Linked DNA regions of Nothobranchius furzeri. The protein of the gene in region 4 binds, or shares a complex with, the protein of the main gene of each other region. Links are inferred from orthologs where the notes say so. Each region holds a gene or a part of one and is shown on either strand. Other genes may lie near its edges.

Region 1 (4,214 bases), about 12 Mb from region 4:
AAGCTGTCATGGGAGAGGGGTTATTCTGATCTGTCTGGGACCAAACCTGCGTGTTGCTGTTAGAAACCTTTCTTTCTGCATGACAGAATCACAGAAGCAAGACTTCCTGCTTTACTGAACATTTTTCTTCAACAGTTCTTTTATTTGTCCTGCAATGACACACTAACACAATACCTCTTTATATACTGAAATCAGCAAAGATTTTTTTAAATTCAGATCCAGGATATAATTTTGAACACAAACAGAGTATTTTTCATTTGTTAGCATTAATGTTTCTTTTATTTCTAAAGGTAAATAAAAAATGGAATACAAACAAACAGTGTGACTTCAATGACTCCTTTAGTTTTCAGTGCTCCTTTTTCATCTCAGTTCTGGTTTTCTATGATCACACACAGGGATGTGTTCAGAAAACCTCCAGGTCTGTCGAGTTATAGACCACCGCCGTCTCCTCGGTTCCCACAGCAACCTCCTCCTGACCCGCCTCCTCTTCCTCTGCAGCCTCCTCCAGAGATTCCAAGGCCTCGTTAGTATCACTAGCAAAGGTTTCCCTGGAGACGTCGTCATGCTCATGCAGGTTCAGAGTGCCGATGGCCTGCTTCATCTTCTTAGCCAGCTCATGCCGCCTCCTCTTCTGCGCTGCCTTCTTGCTCTTGTAATCTTTCTGATGTTCCTCAAAAAATATCTTCCTGATCTGGGACTTGGAGACGCTGGGCGTGTTCTTCAGCAGGTTGAGGAATACTCCACCGGGAGTCCTCCGCCTGCTGCCATCCATAGTGTAAACACCACCGTTTTCCTCCAGTGTGGCGGTCTCACCCAGCAGTTCTATGGCTTTTTGTGATCCAATAACGCGAACAACTCGCTCTATCAGATCTTTTTTAGGCTCCTGCAGTCTGTATGTAATCTCGTCCACCACCTTGTCCTCGGGGTCGTCTTCAGTGATTTCAAATCGACCCTTGATGTCCATCTCAGCTATGGCGCCAAGTCTTTCTTTGGCGGGTCTTTTCCTCTTAACATCATTCCCTGCCTTCTCTTGTGAACCCCGGCCCTTCATGTAGGCCTCCAGTTCAGCATCTAGCATGGTCTCCTCTTCTCCCTGCTTTGACTGCTTCTCCATCTCTCTCTCCTTCTCCATCATCTTTCGGGCTAGAACAAAGTTATAAGTCTCCACACTTCTGCTGGACATGCTGACACCCTCCATACCAAAGATGCCTAGCTCTGAGGTGATGGCATCCTGGCACTGCTCCTGGACCACGGAACCCCAAATATTGTTTACCTTGCGACTTCCAAGCGCACCCGGGGCGGGCACGGGCCTCGGACCAGGCAGAGCAGACCCTGCAGGCTGCTGTGGAGCTCCAGACACTTTCTGTCTCTTTCGGCGCCACATGGCCGAATCCTCGTCTGAAGAATCCGGATCACTGTCGCTGGACTCCACCGCCTTAGCGGAGCTTCGGTATGGGGCGGCAGGCGGCCGGGTGGCGGCTCGTTGCTGAAAGGACTGCCCGCTAAAAGCCGAGGAAGCCTCGGTTCGGTCAGGTTCTGCTGCAGCCGTTCCCATTTCGGTGTCCGAGTTGGACCCAGAGATTTCTCCATCTTCCAAGTCACCGTCCATCAGTTCGGCCATTCGGTAGCCTACCTGGAAGTCAGAGCCAACAACAGAGGCTGTTATCAACACCTTTGTCTCTGAAGTTCGGGTTACTCATAGCTAACTCCACAGCACGTTAGCGGCTAACAAACTCAATGCTAAGGCCGGCCACAAAATAATGCAATGAACACCTTAAAGAGCCCGATAGAAAGCTCTATTCCGCAGGCGAATGTAGTTTAAATCAGCTTGGCGACTCCTCAACGCAACGATTAACGAACGCACCAACTTACGAAAGAGCCAGAGGTGAATTGGCGCTGGCTAAAGCGCCACTTCCGCCTGGGAACTGTCAGAACGTTTCAAAATAAAACTACAACTACGCATTTTACATATTGTGGTTGTGGATGCGTAATTTTTGGCATTTTATCTGTTGTGTTATTTATTATATGTCCTAAAATCAAGAATATTGCTTTCCTATGTAATATGATCTCAGAAAACTCCCCAAGTTTCAAGGATTTTAATACAGTGTCACTATGCAGGTGTACACTTACTAGCATTGTCAACATACTAAACATGGGCCAAAATATTATATGTTAAATGTAGCATGTTTACAAATGTATGTGTGTGTGTGTGTGTGTGTGTGTGTGGGGGGGGGGGGGGGGTCATTAAAACGCATTTATTTATACGTCAATGTAATTTCGTCCAAATATAAATTATTTCTTTATAATTAAAGTTTTTATTATCTTCAGATTTTTTATAACGTACAAGAACATACAAAAACAAAATTCTATGCAACCTGGTAGGAGTATGGTAGTATCTATGCAACACCTTGTACTGTATAAATTTACTTCTAGCCTCTTTCACATATTTACCACTGTCTGATAAGACATTTAGCCATTTTTCATTTGTGTATTCTGTTTCCAAGTCCCGCTGCCAAAGTAGTTTAATGCCTAAAGACTCCCCACTTAAACCATGATTAAACAGTTTATAAAACACCGAAGCAGTGTGGCGGTCACGTGGCATTTTAATATAACCTAAAATATCATTCTCAGGAACTTCCTTAAATTTAGAAGTCACACAATGTCTCATTTGGAGGTATTTCCAAAAATGTCCTTTACCTTGCAATTTGTAAGTATGGGTTAGATCCTCGTAAGACATAAAGTTTCCATCTTTACACAGATCTCCAATATTACATATACCACGTGAGTGCCACTGTCAAATATAAATTATTGAGTTCCGGGTTCTAAGAAACATTAGTATTTCTCAAAGCAACTGCTTTTATTTTTTAAAGAACCAAAGCACCACCTTCTCTTCCTTGTCCGTAGCGGAAGTTGCGTGACGCACGCATGCGCACATTTACAAATAAACAATATGGCAGCGTCATTTCATCTTCTCACATCTGCGGGGAGAATTATTTTACAAAGAAACTTACTCAAGAGTAATTATCTCAGCGGGGTAAGAATGATTAAAATCGATTTTAATCGATCATGGTTTATTGGGCAGCAGTAGTTCAACAGGTTGAGCGGGTTGTCCAGTAATCGGAAGGTTGCAGGTTCGATCCCGGCTCCGGACAGAGAATTCTGCTGTTGTGTCCTTGGGCAAGACACTTAACCCACGTTGCCTGCTGGTGGTGGTCGGAGGGTCCGGTGGCGCCTGTGCTCGGCAGCCTCACCTCTGTCAGTGCGCCCCAGGGCAGCTGTGGCTACATCGTAGCTCATCACCATCAGTGTGTGAATGTGTGTGTGTGTGTGTGTGAATGGATGAATGATACACTGTAGTGTAAAATGCTTTGGAGTCCTTACTGTGAGAGGCGCTACACAAGTGCGGGTCATTTATCATATATTGTCTACAGGACGCTTGAAACTAGGTTTTAGCCGGCTCACTGTTTAACATAGCCGCTACAGGCTAACTGTGATAAATCCTTATGTTTGGTTGGAGTGAAATAGCGGGTATTGTTTCTCAACGTCAAGGAACCTTGTCTTGATGTCTTGGCCCCGCCCCGGTTGCCTAGGAGATACGCCATCAGGAGCCGCCAAGACGTGTTCCAATCGGTTCCAATGACCTTCCCCACTAGAAGCTGGATGTTCTACCGAGGCGTGTGTTCTCCGTTTGTTCTTCCATTTAACCGATTTCTTTGATCAAGGAAGGACAGTGTCCTCGTAAGCAAGGCGCCTCGCAAGACATCGCCTCGCAAGGCGCCTTGACATTGAGAAACACCCTCCGTCAGTATAACAACAATGCTATGTAGTTAACTAGTACTGATTAACAGCAGCTGGTCTAACTCTGAAGACTCATACTGACTTGCTGATTTTGTGACTGTAGCGGCGGCTGTTGGCTACTCGGGCTGCCCACCAGGTGGCGCTAAATGTCCCAGAAACTAAAGTTACTACTTTAGAAAACGGACTGCGGGTGGCTTCAGAGGACTCCGGCCTTACTACGTGCACAGTAAGTTCAAATCCTAAATGAACAGCATGTGGGTCAAACAGCAACCATGTACTTTAAACATCCAGCCATTAAATTTACAGTTTTTTTTGTCAATACTGGATCAGAGTACTGGATAGTTATCCCACCACCATGATTCAGTCACCATAGCTTCACCCTAGTCATGCATCAGATGTAAGCTGGAGGATTATGT
Region 2 (3,511 bases), about 1.1 Mb from region 4:
AGTCTATAAGGCTTGCTCACATCGAAGGAGCTGTTCTGCTGCAAGAGCTCACGAAGAAGGGAGTTGGCCTTCATCTCCCTCCGCCTAGTAAAGGGGATCCTCCGGGGGGTGCTGTTGGCAGTCCCAGTCAAGCCCCCATTAGTCCCAGGAGTAGCCACCAAGACCACTCGGCTGTGAGAGTTTGTAGTGGCCAAGCGGGAGGCCTCAGGCCTGGCCCGAGGCCGGGAGAGCTCACGGTCCTTGCGCTCCCAGCCCTGCTGCTTGCGCACAGGCAGGCAGTAAGTGTGCATGTACGTAATCAGTTCCACTACAGAGCGCAGCTCTTTTTCTGAGCTGAACTGAGATGTAGCTGGCTCCACAGGCACAGCAGCTGCAACTGCTGCACCTTCAACTTCACTACTGGAAGACTCCTCCTCCCCTTCCTCCTCATCTTCCTCCTCCTCGTCCTCCTCCGACACACTCTCCTCGTCCTCTTCTTCCTCTTCGTCCTCATCTGTCTTGAGAACTGGGTTGTTCTCTGCATCTTGTGCGGTGGTGAGGTGGCGGTGCAGCTCTGTGCACAGACGCCCTGCAGGACGCACGGCTCGAGGCTTCCGCTCCTGAGGGCGTTCACTCTGGGGGTGATGAAAAAAAAAGACTTGAACCAATGGCAAGATTTGCTGGAGCTTAAGAGTCAAAATCATTCTAAAATTGATATTGTGCTTTTTCTTCTTTTCTTTCTGCCTGTTATGCTGTTTTGTACAGGTAATGAGGTTCATTAAAGTTATAATTTCTGCAAATTTTTGTGTTTAAAGGTTCCGTAGCATGCTACTTTAAACCTGTGAGAACAAAGGCAGTTTCAGTAAATGATAAAATAATACAGTTGGCACTATTGAGATGTCATTTATCTTAAATGCGAGTTAATTTCGTCAGACTGAATTTATACCCAGAAATAGTCTGCTACAAGACTGCAGTCGCCTAAGCCACACATCCTAATCTGGACAGGGGAGACAGACCAGAGACAAGCGTCCAGGAGAGGAGTGGGACCTGATGACGAGGTTAGTTTCCATTAGTGCTTTACAGGACTTTCAAAGTAAAACTCTAAATTTTCAGCTGAAACAGGAAAATGCATGAATGCAGCCAAAAAGGGTTTTTTTTTCAAGAGGAAATGACGATATCACATTTTATCACAAGCTCAAAAAAGTAGATTTTACATGGATTTTTTTATATGAACCTTTTTGTATTTTTTTGTGTGTGAAAAAAAAACAGGAAGTAAAAACTGAATGCCTTCACAAATTTTTAAGGAATCAGACATTTTTGTTTATTTTTTTAGTAGAGCAGGTTGAATCGGAAAATATCCAATAAAATCACAACGATTTTCCTCTGGGAATAATTTAGCTGCATGACTCTAAGTAAATACAACACATCAGCGACAGCACCAACTCTGTCAAGCAACATCAGTGCATGTTGGTATCTTTATCTAGAAATCTTCATTCTTTAATCATGAGGATCAGCAAGAATTCTGCAATTTTCCATTTTCCTTCTTTTTGTGCTGGAAATAAATTGCTAGACTGTCTGATAATAGAAAAGAAAAGTGAACCACCACACAAGAAAAACAAACTTAACAACCACAAGATTGTATTTCCAATTTCCTGCCCTGGACCAAGCCCCCACAATGCGGGACAGAAATTGAGGCCAACGCGGAAGTGAAATAAATTGCAGTTCCACCCTCATCCACTAGGGGCTGGTGTCAGAAGCGAGCAAATCCTCATTGACTCCCATGTTAAAAATACCAATTTCACAGTAGAAATAAACATGTTTACAGCCTGGTACCAAAACATGGTTTTGGTTTAAATGATCTAGTTTACACTCATGACAACTCTGAGGGGGTGAATTTTTTGTCACTCTTCTGTTTAAGTGTATTAAAAGCCTAAAATTCTGTATGACTAATGAGCATCAGACCCACTTGACCACAGAGCTAGCTCCGTGGAAAGGCCTCAGTAGGCTCAGTCTGAGCCTCAGCCCTGCCTAGTCTCTGAACTTAGTTGTAGCGTTTGTGCGTTCTTTTTTGGATATTATTTGTGCAATTGTTGGACAAAATGACTTGCTGTGGTATTAATTGCACTAATAGAGCGTCCAAGGAGTCTCTGCTTCATTATTTCTGTAAGTAAAATTATATTTATGTATTTATGTCGATGATTTTAGGTCACTGCCGCTCTTGCACTAGCTGCTTAGATTTTAACATGTACTGTTTAACCATGATATTTAAATGTAATAGGGTAAAACCCAGTACATTTAACATAATGCTGCACTTTAGAAAATGGGTTGAAATATAACATGTTGGTGGAGCTGGGTTCCGACTACCGGTATGGTCCCCACCGCAGCTCGGCGCATCTCTGATCGCCGTGGCGCTTGTCTGCTGTGTGGCTGCCGGCTTGTGGAGGTCTCCGAGACCTCTGTGTTCCACCCGGTTTTACCCAGCGGTCAGCCCGGTGTACCTCTGACTCAGAAGCTCTGGTGTTGTGCACAGTTAACTCTGGTTGTAGCTAGGTTGCTACCTCCATTAGCTTAGCTCCCACCTCTGCGTTAGCTTCGGGTTAGCTTCAGGTAAGCTTGTAGCTAGTTCGACGGGTGTCGTCATTTGATCCCAGCCTTACAGCCCCACCCTCAGCTCCACCTCTGTTCCCTTTTGTGGAATTGTCTGGGCTTGACGGAACCTGTGACACAGTCAAAATGGCGGTTGTGGCCACCTCCCATTTCTCCTCAAACACATGTCATTGGAGTCTATGGAAACCCATTGTCCATATATTTCTATGTTGATGCCCTGGACACTGTATCTAGGAACAAAAGGCAGTAAGTTTTCCCTCCCATCCGACGTGGGATGATTCAGTCTGCAGCTGTACTAAAATGGCAGATCTATATTACTCACACAGATAGAGAGGAGAGGGAGTGCCTGTGATTCACCGTTGCCCTCTTGCCCTGTCAGTCAATACTTTTGCCATCTGCCAAAGCAAAAAAGCCACACCACTCTCAAACTGCACACACAGCCATCGACAGCGAGTTGATTAATAGTGGATGATAGATTCAGGTTTGGTTTAGACCGACCACTTCCTGTGGGCTTCTTGTACCCTCTTCACTTGAGCAGGAGCAGAAGTTTGTGTGAAGTGTCCTTTTCTTGTAAAAGATAAATGACTCATGCTGTAATCAATGACCACTTGAAGTACAATGCTAGCAGCTATCCAATTACTGCTAAGTCATACAGCAGTAGCTGTTGTAGATGTCTTCTCCTCCTCAACACCACATTTATCATGAGCAGCAGCTGAAGGTCTCTACAAGCCTGAATGCTCCGAGTATTTCTAAAATAAAACATCTGTCATTTGTTAAATAAAAGCTGGCGCAGCAAAACACGCACCACTTTTGGTTGCATTGTGAACCTTTTTGGAAAATCTTTTCTGTTCATTTAAACACCATCTCAGATGTTTCAGGGGCTGTATCTTATAGCTGAAGAAGCTGAAACCACAACTAGTTTTAT
Region 3 (4,143 bases), on a different chromosome or scaffold from region 4:
ACAAGTTAAAATGTAAAAGGAAAACAATGGGAGGGATCCAGACAGTAGCCAATGGCACCACATCTTCGTAATTATATAGAAAAGTACACTGACTCACTGACTGTCCTAGCTTCATCCAGCTCTGACCTTCAGCTCTTGCTGGGTAGGTTCACGGCTGAGTGTGAAGCGGCTGGGATGAGGATCAGCACCTCCAAATCTGAGACCATGGTTCTCGACCGGAAAAGGGTGGCTTGCCAACTCCGGGTCGGGGGAGAGGTCCTACCTCAAGTGGAGGAGTTTAAGTATCTCGGGGTCTTGTTCACGAGTGAGGGTAGGAGGGATCGGGAGATCGACAGGCGGATTGGTTCGGCGTCTGCAGTGATGACGCTGAGCCGATCTGTCGTGGTGAAGAGGGAGCTGAGCCAGAAAGCCAGGCTCTCGATTTACCGGTCGATCTACGTCCCAATCCTCACCTATGGTCATGAGCTTTGGGTAATGACCGAAAGAACGAGATCGCGGATACAAGCGGCCGAAATGAGTTTCCTCCGTAGGGTGGCCGGGCTCAGCCTTAGAGATAGGGTGAGGAGCTCGGAGATTCGGGAGGGACTCGGAGTAGAACCGCTGCTCCTCCGGATCGAAAGGAGTCAGTTGAGGTGGTTTGGGCATCTGGTCAGGATGCCTCCTGGACGCCTCCCTGGGGAGGTGTTTCGGGCATGTCCTGCCAGCAGGAGGCCCCCGGGTCGACCCAGGACACGTTGGAGAGGTTACATCTCCAATCTGGTCCGGGAACGCCTTGGGGTCCTGCCGGAGGAGCTGGTGGAGGTGGCCGGGGAGAGGACGGTCTGGAGCTCCCTAGATGGGATGCTGCCCCCGCGACCCGGACCCGGATAAGCGGAGGAAGACGACACTGACTCAATACCCTTGGGTATTTGCTTTCCTAAACATATGTTTATGAAGGAATGATTAGGTTTAGTTAGAAGTTAATCCATTACACCATCTCATTTAGACAAGGCAGTTTTATTTATATTTCAAACAGAAGCAATTAAACGTCCTTTCAGGTCCAAGTAAAACGCCCGAAAACAAAAATTAGCCGACAGAGTAAAACTGTAAGGTTCGTCTTCAGCGTTCAGACATAAATTCTGATTGCTTTACAGCCAGACAGGACGTGGTTTATAAAAAAAAAGAAGCATAAAGATGCAAATGTTTAAATCGAATTTAAGATGTACAAATAAAAATATTTAAAAAAAACTGCAGAAGGTGTTGATGTTGGAAGAAAAAGAATATATATATATATATATATATATAAAATCAGTAATTTGCTAATGAGATTTCTTGCACATATATGGCATTAAAACACTTCTGATGCTGATATAAAAATCCCCATCTCACCCTCCGTGGGTGGTCTCATCCTTCCAACCTTGGGTCCTCTACCAGAGGCTTGGGATCTTGAGGGTTCTGCAGTATATTAGCTGTTCCTAGAACTGCACTTTTCTGGACTGAGAGGTCTGATTGTTTTCCTTGGATCTGCTTTAGCCACTCCTGCAGTTTGGGGGTTATTGCCCTGATGACCATGGGCACCACCGATGTCTTCACTCTCCAGCTTAAGTTCTTCTTTGAGGCCCTGGTACTTTTCTAGTTTCTCGTGCTCCTTTTCCCGGATTTGCATGACTTGGTATCGCCACATCAACCACAACGGCTGATCTCTGTGGTTTGTCCACCACCACAATGTCCGGTTGGTTCACCATCACCATTTTGTCAGTCTGGGTCTGGAAGTCCCACAGGAGCTTGGTTCTCTTGTTCTCTACCACCTTAGGGTCAAAAGGTACGTGCAGTCCAAGTGCACCAAAATACAAGAAATCCTGAAAGTGATGGTCTGGTCCCACAGAGCCTGATCTCAACATCAATCGTGTGTCTAGGATTACAGGAAGAGACAGAAGGATGTGAAGAAGTCCATATCCACCGATGATCTGTGGTTAGTTCTCCAAGATGTTTAGAACCAGCCCAGTTCCTTCAACAAATGTGTGTGTGCACCTAGAACTGATGCTGTTCTAAAGGCAAAAGATGGTCACACCAAATATTGATTTGACTTGATTTAGATTATGTCCATTCACTGCTTTTTTGATTCTTGATAAATGATTAACACTTCCAGTTTTGAAAGCATTCTGCGTTTTTCCCACTAATACACTAAGAAGAAACACACACACAAACAACTACAAAGCTCGGATGAAGGCGAAAACTTAAAAAAAAATTGTAAGCAAACGCAAAATGATCTAATTTAGCGATCCTCCGTGTTTCCTCCCGGATGTATTTAGTGGACGGACAAAATACCCGGAAGTACATCATCCAAACTCGCGTCGTTAGCATTCTGCCTAAGTAGTCATTTATCCAAAATGTCTTCTAAACTAAACGCTTTAACCAGCGATTCTTACACTGAGATTAGTCAATATAGAGATCAACACTTTAAGGTAAGGGAGAAGGTGAATGAATTCGACTTTTGTATGTAAATGTGTTTTTCTCCTGCTCTAAGAGTAGTTTTATGTCATGTTTGTTTTTAGGGTAATCGTTATGAACAGGAGAAGCTGCTAAAGCACAGTAACACTCTGTATGTTGGGAACCTCTCCTTTTACACAACGGAAGAGCAGGTAAGACCTTTAAATAAAGCTAGCTTCGGCTTCCTGAGGACTGCTTTACTTCTTACATTATTCCATGAAAACCTTTCAGAACTTCTAAACGTGGTTATAACCAGCTAAATAATCCGATGTTCAAGATCGATGTAGCTACTACTGAGATCTGATGAATGTTGGCTTATAAAAACTAGACGGTTGTGGCTGGTTTATACTAGATTGAAGGCATATTTCGAATCACTGCTAATATGAACAGGTGCACGAGTTGTTTGCTAAATGTGGAGACGTGAAGCGTATCATCATCGGCCTGGATAAAATCAAGAAGACTGCCTGCGGATTCTGTTTTGTTGAGTATCCTTTTAAACTATTGGTAAATGGCCTGTATCTGTATAGCATCTTCTTAAGGTTCTACAGCCCCCCAAGGTGCTTTACAACACAATTAGTCACCCACCCACACATTCACACGCTGGTGATGATGAGCTACAATGTTGCCACAGCTGCCCTGGGTGCATAGACTGGCACAACCGGTCCTACTGACCACCACCAGCAGACAAGGCAGATTAAAAGTTTCGCCCAAGGACACAACAGCAGCATTCTCTGGCTGGAGCCGGGATCAAACCTACAACCTTCCAATTACTAGACAACCCACTCTACCTCCTGAGGTACTGCTGCTCTATCGTCACCTGATCTAGTAAAGCCAATTGATGCACAAGAAAACAAACCGTTTAAATGTCAACAGTGTTTCTGTCTTGACTGGTCGTGTATTAAAAGGGTAGCATTGATGTGAAAATGAACAGAGTGTGGACCTTAGCTGCGCCTGTACCAGATACTACACACGAGGAGACGCAGAGAACGCCATGCGCTTCGTTAACGGTACCCGGCTGGATGACCGGATCATCAGGACAGACTGGGACGCAGGCTTCAAGGAGGGCAGGCAGTACGGGCGTGGCAAATCTGGAGGACAGGTGAGGTTTACGGTCATTTTGGTTCATAATGTGAACTTGCTTAAAGGCCCAGTGTGTGATATTTTTTACCAGTTTACTATCAAATCCTGTGTTTGCAGTTCACAAACTGCAAACTTATATAGTTATACATTTTATATACATAATCTGTGGTCGAGGCTCCATGGTCATCCACCATCTTAAAATACAGTAGCTGTTTAGGGACATACGAGCTCCACGTTACCGTTTGGACTATGACTGTAACCTGAAAGAACCAGCAGAGGGCAGCAGTGTGCCCTGGAAGCATGAAGTCTGCTAATTCAACTAAGAAATAGAAAAGAATAGCTACACCGTTGCTCTACTTGTTAGTTTGAATTAAAAACAACTAAATCAAAAGACATCAAATTTGTCCATTCCTCGTCATGTCCAACACAAGATCCCCGCCCGCCATTATCTGGAAGCCAGCCTCTGATTAGTGTCTCTGACTCCCAAACTCACCTCAAGTTGTTCATCCATCTTTTCGTAGAACCAGAACTCCCGATCCGGTCCCAACGTGTCTGTACTAAAGTCCTTCTACTCAAGTCTCCTCTCTTCCCGCA
Region 4 (3,511 bases):
CCAGGTTAGGAACCACTGCTATAGGTTATAAATTGTAAGTCGCTTTGGATAAAAGCGTCTGCCAAATAAATAAACATAAACACTTTCTCCTCTGGTTTAATTCTCCGTTCTGAAACAGGTGCACCGGAGCTTTTTTTCCCCCAGAGTACAACTTACAAGGCATTTATTCCTACTAGAGACCACCGCTAATGTATTAAAAATAGGAGTGAAGAACCTCTTTAAAGGATTTTCTGAAAAACAATGTAAAGTTAAAGTTAAACAAACCGTCGTCGTCTTCCTGATTTGGGTTGGGGACTTCCTTGAGAATGGCGAGGATTTCCTCATTGGACGCTCGGTTCTTGATGGCATTTCCAACGGTGATGGAGACGGGGTAACCTGGTAACGAAGCTGTGGGAAAGCAAAGATTTGATTTATTATTAGGATTCTATAAAGGAAACAACACTAACATCTTAAACTGTTTTCAGAAAGTTTCTTTAAAATGTTTATAACATAAAACATCAGAATTCCTACCAGAACTCTCATCCTCGTACTTATAAGAAAAAAGGGGTTCAGCGGGAATGAGAGCTGAGAAAGTTGCAGGGACGATGTCCACTATCCTCTGGTGGTAGGAAAGTCTGAAAGTGATGCAAAAAATAAAAAATAAAATAACACTGAGCTAAAAGAAACTTGTCCAAGAGTAGAAACACAAGAGTGAATGTCTCACACTGAAATATTCTTGAATAAGAACAAACAAGTATAATCAGACTGCTGACAGCTTATCTAAGCCACCCCAGTAATGCAGCTCTGTTATCACCTCATGCTCTTCTCCAGAACCTCTTTGACAAACTTGGGCTTAGGCATCTCCAGATCCTGGGTCAAGCAGTCGGACCTTCAACCACAAACATATTTAACATTTAATTAACACCTTTTTCCTGATTTCATAAAAGTGCCTGTAAAATAATCACCCACCAGTCATCCCAGCTCCATCGAAACTGGAAGTTGCTCAAATGATGAGAAAACCAGTTGATAAATCTATTCAATAACAAAGGGGAAGTGATGAGTGTGGACTGGAGTGCTGTTGACAGACCTCTAGGGGATATCCTGTTAAATATGCAGTCCCTTACCTGTCTATACAGGTGGTGTTCATGGTGTCCAGTCTCATGTAGAGCATCTCTGTGGCCTGAGCCAACTATCACACTCATGTTAAGGTTAAATCTGCCACAATGATAAAACACACACCTGGTTTTCATTAGAAGATGAGTGAATCCTTTTGTCCCCTTCAATAATCTGCACAAAAACACTCGATACACTTCCCCCCGATACGGGTAACATTATAAAAAGATACGACTTGGGGCAGCGACCCCGGCTGAAGTTTGCAGAGTTCGATCAGCAGTGTGGTGTACATGACGTCTATGTGAGGAGGCAAAGGCAGCTGGAAAAGCTCTCCAAAAATCACCTGAAACAAATCAGTAACTCTTATTTGATCAAACTGTTGTTTTCTTTTGGCTCCAGTGAAAGAACAAGAAGTTTACCTCCACAATGTGATAGTTGAGAGGGATCTTGTTTTTTCCTGGATAACTGAGTAACTGGGCAGCGCTGGAAGGTTACGAATAGAAGGTCAGATAGACGCCTCACATGTAACCTTCATGTTTTATAGAAAGGATGATTTCATAGGGCTCACCACCCACCATGTTTTCCTCTCCTTCCAGTGGGTTTTGATAATACACTGCAGGTTTTCTTCTATGACATACCTCTCCACAGAATGGCTGCCGGGCATGACGGGCCCCTGTAGAGAACAGATATGCAACTATGTGAGTAAGAAGAGGGGTACGGAACAGTATAACTAGTCGGTTACTGAGTAAAGCTGCTTTTTAACCAGTTTCCGACCCAAACAAGTTGAACTAATTATGTTATGAAACAAAGAGACGAACGGACCTCTGGGGCATCAGTGTAGTCAAACATCCTGAAGATGACGCGGGGCATCGGGTACTGGGCGTCAGGCATGTGGCCTGGTGGAGTGAAGGGGGGGAGGTTGTGCTGCAGGGCCTCACAGAGGACACTGTCAAAGGCGATGTACGGACGAAGGATGTGGCGCTCCTGCCAGCGGTCCTTCTTCAGCTTCTGGACCTGAGCCCAAAGGCAGTCCAAGTACTAAAACACACAGAGCAGGTTTCTGAAGAAACAGCAGCAGGCTCCAAGTGTTTTCTTACTCTGCGGAGGGTCAACAGCTGGGTGAAGTTAGGCTAGCATATCATGGGGATGGGATTTTTAGGTTACATAGACGACTCTGCATCAGTTTTAAAACTTTATGCAATGTTGAGGAACGTAACTGTTGGAGGTGGAGAATGATGAGAAATATTGGGATTTTCAACAAACTGTGCTGCTATGTATGACTCAGGTTTTGCCTCTGCTGAGTTCAACATTATCATCAACACTGACAACTGTTGTGCATTTTTGGTGTGACAAAGTGTCTTAAAAACATCTCAATGTTTTCCCACATTTCTCACACTTTCTTCCTCAAGGTCACCAAATTGGGAAAAGTTCTACATAGGTTCCAGATTCCCGAGGGAACTGGAGAAACACTAAAGTGAAACTCTGTAACTCAGAGAAGGACATGGCAAAAATGGTAAATGGCCTGTATTTGATATAGCGCCTTCTAGAGTCCTGGAACCCCCAAGGCGCTTTACAGCACAATCAGTCATTCACCCATTCACACACACATTCACACACTGGTGGGGATGTAGCCACAGCTGCCCTGGGGCGCACTGACAGAGGCGAGGCTGCCGAGCACAGGCGCCACCGGTCCCTCCGACCACCACCAGCAGGCAAGGGGGGTTAAGTGTCTTGCCCAAGGACACAACGACAGCGACAGACTGAGCAAGGCTCGAACCTGCAACCTTCCGATTACGGGGTGAACACTTAACTCCTGTGCCACCGTCGTCCCGAAACATCTAAAAAGAAACTAAAAACGCACGCCAACATTTAGGCAACAACAACCACAGCCCAGTGATATATACTGGTTTAACTGATGCTTGTCTTTCTGAACACAAACACATGGACAGATTAGTTATAACGCATACAAACTCAAGTCAATTAAGAAAAAACAACAAGATCAGGAACGGCAAAACTTCAGGACTCATTTTTCATAAGTAGCCTTGTTTATTCTGACTAATTATTAGATCAGAGCTCTACATGGAGGGAATAGTTGCAAACGGAAGCTTTGTGGTGAGAAACACAACAGATCAGAAATGGACTGGGGAGACTCACCTCTTCTTGTGGGTGGGGTTTCTCTGCAGTCCAAACCTGCAGCATGGGAACATGAGTCTTGACTCTTCTCCTGAAAATATAATGGCATTACAGAGCTAAATGTAGAATGAAATTATTTCATTGGATTAAACCATTCTTTCAATAATGAGAATGTAAAACAGTAAAGAATAGAGAAAAAAAAAGGCAGAAGTCTCACTTGAGGTAGCCTTCGATCTGGCTGAGTAGTCGGTCCATCTCAACGTCCTTCTTCTCATAAAGCTCCTTA
Region 5 (3,511 bases), on a different chromosome or scaffold from region 4:
ATCCGGGGCTTTTCAGAAAACATCCCGACCCCGTGGTGCTGCAATACAGCCCTCGGGGAATCTGAAGGCTGCGAAGTAGGAGCGACAGGTAGGTGGTATGCCCGGCTCTGAAAGGCGTTGATCAGAATTTGCAGATACATTTTTTTCTCCATGGAGATTGGCCGCTCATTCACTGAGAATCATATTTAGGAATTAAAATATAAAGATTTGAGCAAATCCAGGAAGAACTGACGGTACCGGTTCCAACCGATGCTCGATGCCCAACCCTACACTGACTGATCAAAGGAACCCCGACATGTTGAATGACTAGCCTGGCCTGCCAGACTCGTCCTCTGTTTAATTCTGCACAGAGAGAGTCTGGTAACTCACAGGCAGAGTGGCACATGGGGGGCGGGACTAGCCAGCTCAAAAATAACCAATCAGGAAAAAGACGGAAATGCAGACTGTACCGCGTGACGCTGTAGTTTTTTAGCTGTGGTCAAAAATAGCGTCTGACAACGGAGAAGACATCTTTCTTTAGAAGAAAGGCTTTTAGCACTTCTACTTGTTGTGGTTTTAAAGACATGTCCAAGTCACTTGGAACAGAGGAAAGAGCCGCAGCGAACTCCACTTCAGTCGCCATGTTAATTACAAACTTGGCGTTGTGGTGTGTGACGTACACTACTCAGCGCTGATTGGCTCGGTTAGAATTCTCAGGGGGCGGGGTCATTTGAATAGGAGAGTTCCCAGATCCTTTCTCTGTGCAGAATTAACCAGAGGAGGAGTCTGGCAGGCCAGGCTAGGGAATGACCTCTACGCGTGAATGCCTTAATCAGCCGATTTAGACTCCATGATAAAAACCACGTTTCAATTTCATCAGCTCTATTGTGTTGTTACCTGAGTGTCGGTGTGTGTATGGAGGTGTGTGTCCCATGCTGTCTCCAATCAGAGGTTTCTTGCTCTTGATGACGTCTCTTTGTATGCGGCGGTTGTGATACCTCCTCTTCCTGGAAACACACACACACACACACACACACACACACACACACACACACACACACACACACACACACACACACACACACACACACACACACACACACACACACACACACACACACACACACAACTCATCATCTACACAGGATTACAGACACCAGACTCATCAAGGGCGGTGGGTCCCGGGTCAGTCCGGAAGAGTTAGAAATCCTGACTACAAGATTCAGCTGTGCTGGTCGGTCTAGCCACGCTCCATTGTAGACTCAGCAAGTCTACCGTTGGCCAATCAGCGCACTCTACGTTTGCTTGGTGGGCTTAGCACCAGAGTAGTGAGGGAGAAAAACTACAAAGATGGCATCAGCTCAGAACAAATGGCTTTGGCATTAACTTTGGACTATTTACTACTCGTCTTTGCAGCAAAATCGGCCGGTGGGCAACTTTAATATATATTTGATCTTGCGGGCCAAATAAAAATAGACTGCGACCCAAATTTGGTCCTGAGGGCCTTAGTTTGGCACCTGTGGTCTAAAGAAACAAATATGATTTTGTAGTTCAAACAGAAATGCTAAATCGTCGTCGTCGTCTTCCTCCGCTTATCCGGGTCCGGGTCGCGGGGGCAGCATCCCAACTAGGGAGCTCCAGACTGTCCTCTCCCAGGCCACCTCCACCAGCTCCTCCGGCAGGACCCCAAGGCATTCCCGGACCATATTGGAGATGTAACCTCTCCAATGTGTCCTGGGTCGATCCGGGGGCCTCCCCAGGGAGGCATCCTGACCAGATGCCCAAACCACCTCAACTGACTCCTTTCGATCCGGAGGAGCAGCGGTTCTACTCCGAGTCCCTCCCGAATGTCAGAGCTCCTCACCCTATCTCTAAGGCTGAGCCCGGCCACCCTACGGAGGAAACTCATTTCGGCCGCTTGTATCCGCGATCTCATTCTTTCGGCCATTACCCAAAGCTCATGACCATAGGTGAGGATTGGGACGTAGATCGACCGGTAAATCGAGAGCCACGACAGATCGGCTCAGCGTCCGCATCACTGCAGACCCTGAACCAATCCACCTGTCGATCTCCCGATCCCTCCTACCCTCACTCGTGAACAAGACCCCAAGATACTTAAACTCCTCCACTTGAGGTAGGACCTCTCTCCCGACCCGGAGTTGGCAAGCCATCATTTTCCGGTCGAGAGCCATGGTCTCAGATTTGGAGGTGCTGATCCTCATCCCAGCCGCTTCACACTCGGCCACAAACCTACCCAACAAGAGCTGAAGGTCAGAGCTGGATGAAGCTAGGAGGACCACATCATCCGCAAAAAGCAGAGACGAGATTCTCCTGCCACCAAACTCGACACACTCCACACCACGGCTGCGCCTAGAAATTCTGTCCATAAAGGTAATGAACAGAACCGGTGACAAAGGGCAGCCCTGGTGGAGTCCAACCCTCACCGGGAACAGGTCCGACTTACTACCGGCTATGTGGACCAAACTCACGCTCCTCTGGTAAAGGGACTGAATGGCCCTTAACAGAAAGCCACCCACCACATACACCTGGAGCGTCCCCCACAGGGTGCCCCTGGGGACACGGTCACAAGCCTTCTCCAAATCCACAAAACACATGTGGATTGGTTGGGCAAACTCCCATGCCCCCTCCATCACCCTTGCAATGGTATAGAGCTGGCCCACAGTTCCACGGCCAGGACGAAAACCACATTGCTCCTCTTCAATCTGAGATTCAACTATCGATCGGACCCTCCTCTCCAGTACCTTGGAGTAGACCTTTCCAGGGAGGCTGAGGAGTGTGATCCCCCTATAGTTGACTACAAAGTCTATCATCGACCTGCGACCTAGGCTGCCCTGGTACCAAGTGTACTGATGGGTATCCTTATGTTCGAACATGGTGTTCGTTATGGCCAAACTGCAGCTTGCACAGAAGTCCAATAATGAAACACCACTCGAGTTCAGATCAGGTGGGTGTTCCTCCCAATCACACCCCTCCAGGTCAAGCTGTCATTGCCCACGTGAGCATTGAAGTCCCCCAGCAGGACAATGGAGTCCCCTGATGGAGCACTATCTAGCACTCGTCCCAGGGACTCCAAAAAGGGTGGGTACTCTGAACTGATATTTGGTCCATAAGCACAAACAACAGTCAGGACCCATTCCCCAACCCGAAGACGCAGGGAAGCTACCCTCTCGTCCCCTGGGGTAAACCCCAACACACAGGCAGAGAGTCTTGGGGCTAACAAAAACGCCAACCCCAGCCCTCCCCCTCTCACCCAGAGCCACTTCAGCAAAGGAGAGTGTCCACCCCCTCTCAAGGACTTGGGTTCCAGAGCCAATGCTATGTGTCGAGATGAGTCCGACTATATCTAGCCGGTATCGCTCAACCTCTGCCACAAGCTCCTGCTCCTTCCCCGCCAGCGAGGTACGTTCCATGTCCCAAAAACCAGTTTCCTTGTCCGGGGATCGGACCGCCAAGGCTCCCGTCTTGGTCTGCCACCCGATCCACACTGCACCGGACCCTTCATGTTCCTCCT

Evidence for each region.
Region 1: the proteins of nuclear cap-binding protein subunit 1 (region 4) and phax are in contact, whole or in part, in a cryo-EM structure (PDB 8PNT), measured with the Homo sapiens proteins. The link is inferred for Nothobranchius furzeri from reciprocal best matches to the Homo sapiens genes NCBP1 and PHAX. Residues at the interface, in NP_002477.1 of Homo sapiens: Cys380, Lys381, Pro384, Pro388, Gln389, Leu391, Ala392, Thr395, Phe417, His420, Leu421, Asn423, Phe424, Gln425, Arg427, Trp428, Ser429, Asp432; in NP_115553.2 of Homo sapiens: Ile114, Asn115, Asn116, Ile117, Trp118, Gly119, Val121, Leu122, Glu124, Gln125.
Region 2: the proteins of nuclear cap-binding protein subunit 1 (region 4) and ppargc1b are in contact, whole or in part, in a crystal structure (PDB 6D0Y), measured with the Homo sapiens proteins. The link is inferred for Nothobranchius furzeri from reciprocal best matches to the Homo sapiens genes NCBP1 and PPARGC1B. Residues at the interface, in NP_002477.1 of Homo sapiens: Glu26, Asp29, His30, Ser33, Leu34, Lys37, Val38, Lys41, Ser42, Ala43, Cys44, Asn49, Gly52, Leu53, Val56; in NP_573570.3 of Homo sapiens: Tyr1006, Glu1007, Ala1008, Met1009, Asp1010, Phe1011, Asp1012, Leu1014, Leu1015, Lys1016, Glu1017, Ala1018, Gln1019.
Region 3: the proteins of nuclear cap-binding protein subunit 1 (region 4) and ncbp2 are in contact, whole or in part, in a crystal structure (PDB 5OOB), measured with the Homo sapiens proteins. The link is inferred for Nothobranchius furzeri from reciprocal best matches to the Homo sapiens genes NCBP1 and NCBP2. Residues at the interface, in NP_002477.1 of Homo sapiens: Glu32, Cys36, Leu71, Thr74, Val75, Arg77, Leu78, Leu79, Ser324, His325, Trp326, Lys327, Glu328, Arg329, Lys330, Ile368, Val370, Met371, Thr374, Glu378, Asn415, His419, Ser422, Asn423, Gln425, Lys455, Arg458, Leu459, Ser460, Tyr461; in NP_031388.2 of Homo sapiens: Gly4, Leu5, Leu6, Lys7, Leu9, Arg10, Ser11, Asp12, Ser13, Tyr14, Glu53, Glu54, Gln55, Tyr57, Glu58, Leu59, Lys62, Ser63, Asp65, Lys67, Ile69, Tyr89, Asn96, Arg99, Tyr100, Asn102, Gly103, Thr104, Arg105, Leu106.
Region 5: the proteins of nuclear cap-binding protein subunit 1 (region 4) and ncbp3 are in contact, whole or in part, in a cryo-EM structure (PDB 8BY6), measured with the Homo sapiens proteins. The link is inferred for Nothobranchius furzeri from reciprocal best matches to the Homo sapiens genes NCBP1 and NCBP3. Residues at the interface, in NP_002477.1 of Homo sapiens: Lys330, Ile377, Glu378, Cys380, Lys381, Pro384, Pro388, Gln389, Ala392, His420, Asn423, Phe424, Gln425, Arg427, Trp428, Ser429, Glu431, Asp432; in NP_001107590.1 of Homo sapiens: Glu572, Asp574, Glu576, Leu577, Gln578, Ala580, Trp581, Gly582, Leu584, Ile585, Lys588, Glu589, Arg592.

The regions. Positions count from the first base shown.
Region 1 is NC_091741.1:59,213,579-59,217,792, forward strand, and holds phax (phosphorylated adapter RNA export protein), read right to left. Parts: upstream 2,803-4,214; 5' UTR 2,698-2,802; intron 1,911-2,697; exon of another isoform or gene 1,774-1,910; intron 1,634-1,773; 5' UTR 1,622-1,633; coding exon 404-1,621; 3' UTR 115-403; downstream 1-114. Other genes in the region: pmpcb (mitochondrial-processing peptidase subunit beta), read left to right, coding at 2,951-3,034, 3,902-4,024. UniProt on the Homo sapiens protein: A phosphoprotein adapter involved in the XPO1-mediated U snRNA export from the nucleus.
Region 2 is NC_091741.1:70,431,978-70,435,488, forward strand, and holds part of ppargc1b (peroxisome proliferator-activated receptor gamma coactivator 1-beta), read right to left. Parts: intron 615-3,511; coding exon 1-614. UniProt on the Homo sapiens protein: Plays a role of stimulator of transcription factors and nuclear receptors activities. Activates transcriptional activity of estrogen receptor alpha, nuclear respiratory factor 1 (NRF1) and glucocorticoid receptor in the presence of glucocorticoids.
Region 3 is NC_091748.1:71,743,264-71,747,406, forward strand, and holds the start of ncbp2 (nuclear cap-binding protein subunit 2), read left to right. Parts: upstream 1-1,341; 5' UTR 1,342-2,369; coding exon 2,370-2,444; intron 2,445-2,534; coding exon 2,535-2,621; intron 2,622-2,859; coding exon 2,860-2,954; intron 2,955-3,429; coding exon 3,430-3,568; intron 3,569-4,143. UniProt on the Homo sapiens protein: Component of the cap-binding complex (CBC), which binds co-transcriptionally to the 5' cap of pre-mRNAs and is involved in various processes such as pre-mRNA splicing, translation regulation, nonsense-mediated mRNA decay, RNA-mediated gene silencing (RNAi) by microRNAs (miRNAs) and mRNA export.
Region 4 is NC_091741.1:71,543,986-71,547,496, forward strand, and holds part of nuclear cap-binding protein subunit 1, read right to left. Parts: coding exon 3,443-3,511; intron 3,317-3,442; coding exon 3,247-3,316; intron 2,131-3,246; coding exon 1,915-2,130; intron 1,766-1,914; coding exon 1,668-1,765; intron 1,576-1,667; coding exon 1,512-1,575; intron 1,436-1,511; coding exon 1,325-1,435; intron 1,169-1,324; coding exon 1,104-1,168; intron 1,012-1,103; coding exon 949-1,011; intron 869-948; coding exon 794-868; intron 615-793; coding exon 511-614; intron 388-510; coding exon 265-387; intron 1-264. UniProt on the Homo sapiens protein: Component of the cap-binding complex (CBC), which binds cotranscriptionally to the 5'-cap of pre-mRNAs and is involved in various processes such as pre-mRNA splicing, translation regulation, nonsense-mediated mRNA decay, RNA-mediated gene silencing (RNAi) by microRNAs (miRNAs) and mRNA export.
Region 5 is NC_091750.1:26,025,805-26,029,315, forward strand, and holds part of ncbp3 (nuclear cap-binding protein subunit 3), read right to left. Parts: intron 987-3,511; coding exon 877-986; intron 1-876. UniProt on the Homo sapiens protein: Associates with NCBP1/CBP80 to form an alternative cap-binding complex (CBC) which plays a key role in mRNA export. NCBP3 serves as adapter protein linking the capped RNAs (m7GpppG-capped RNA) to NCBP1/CBP80.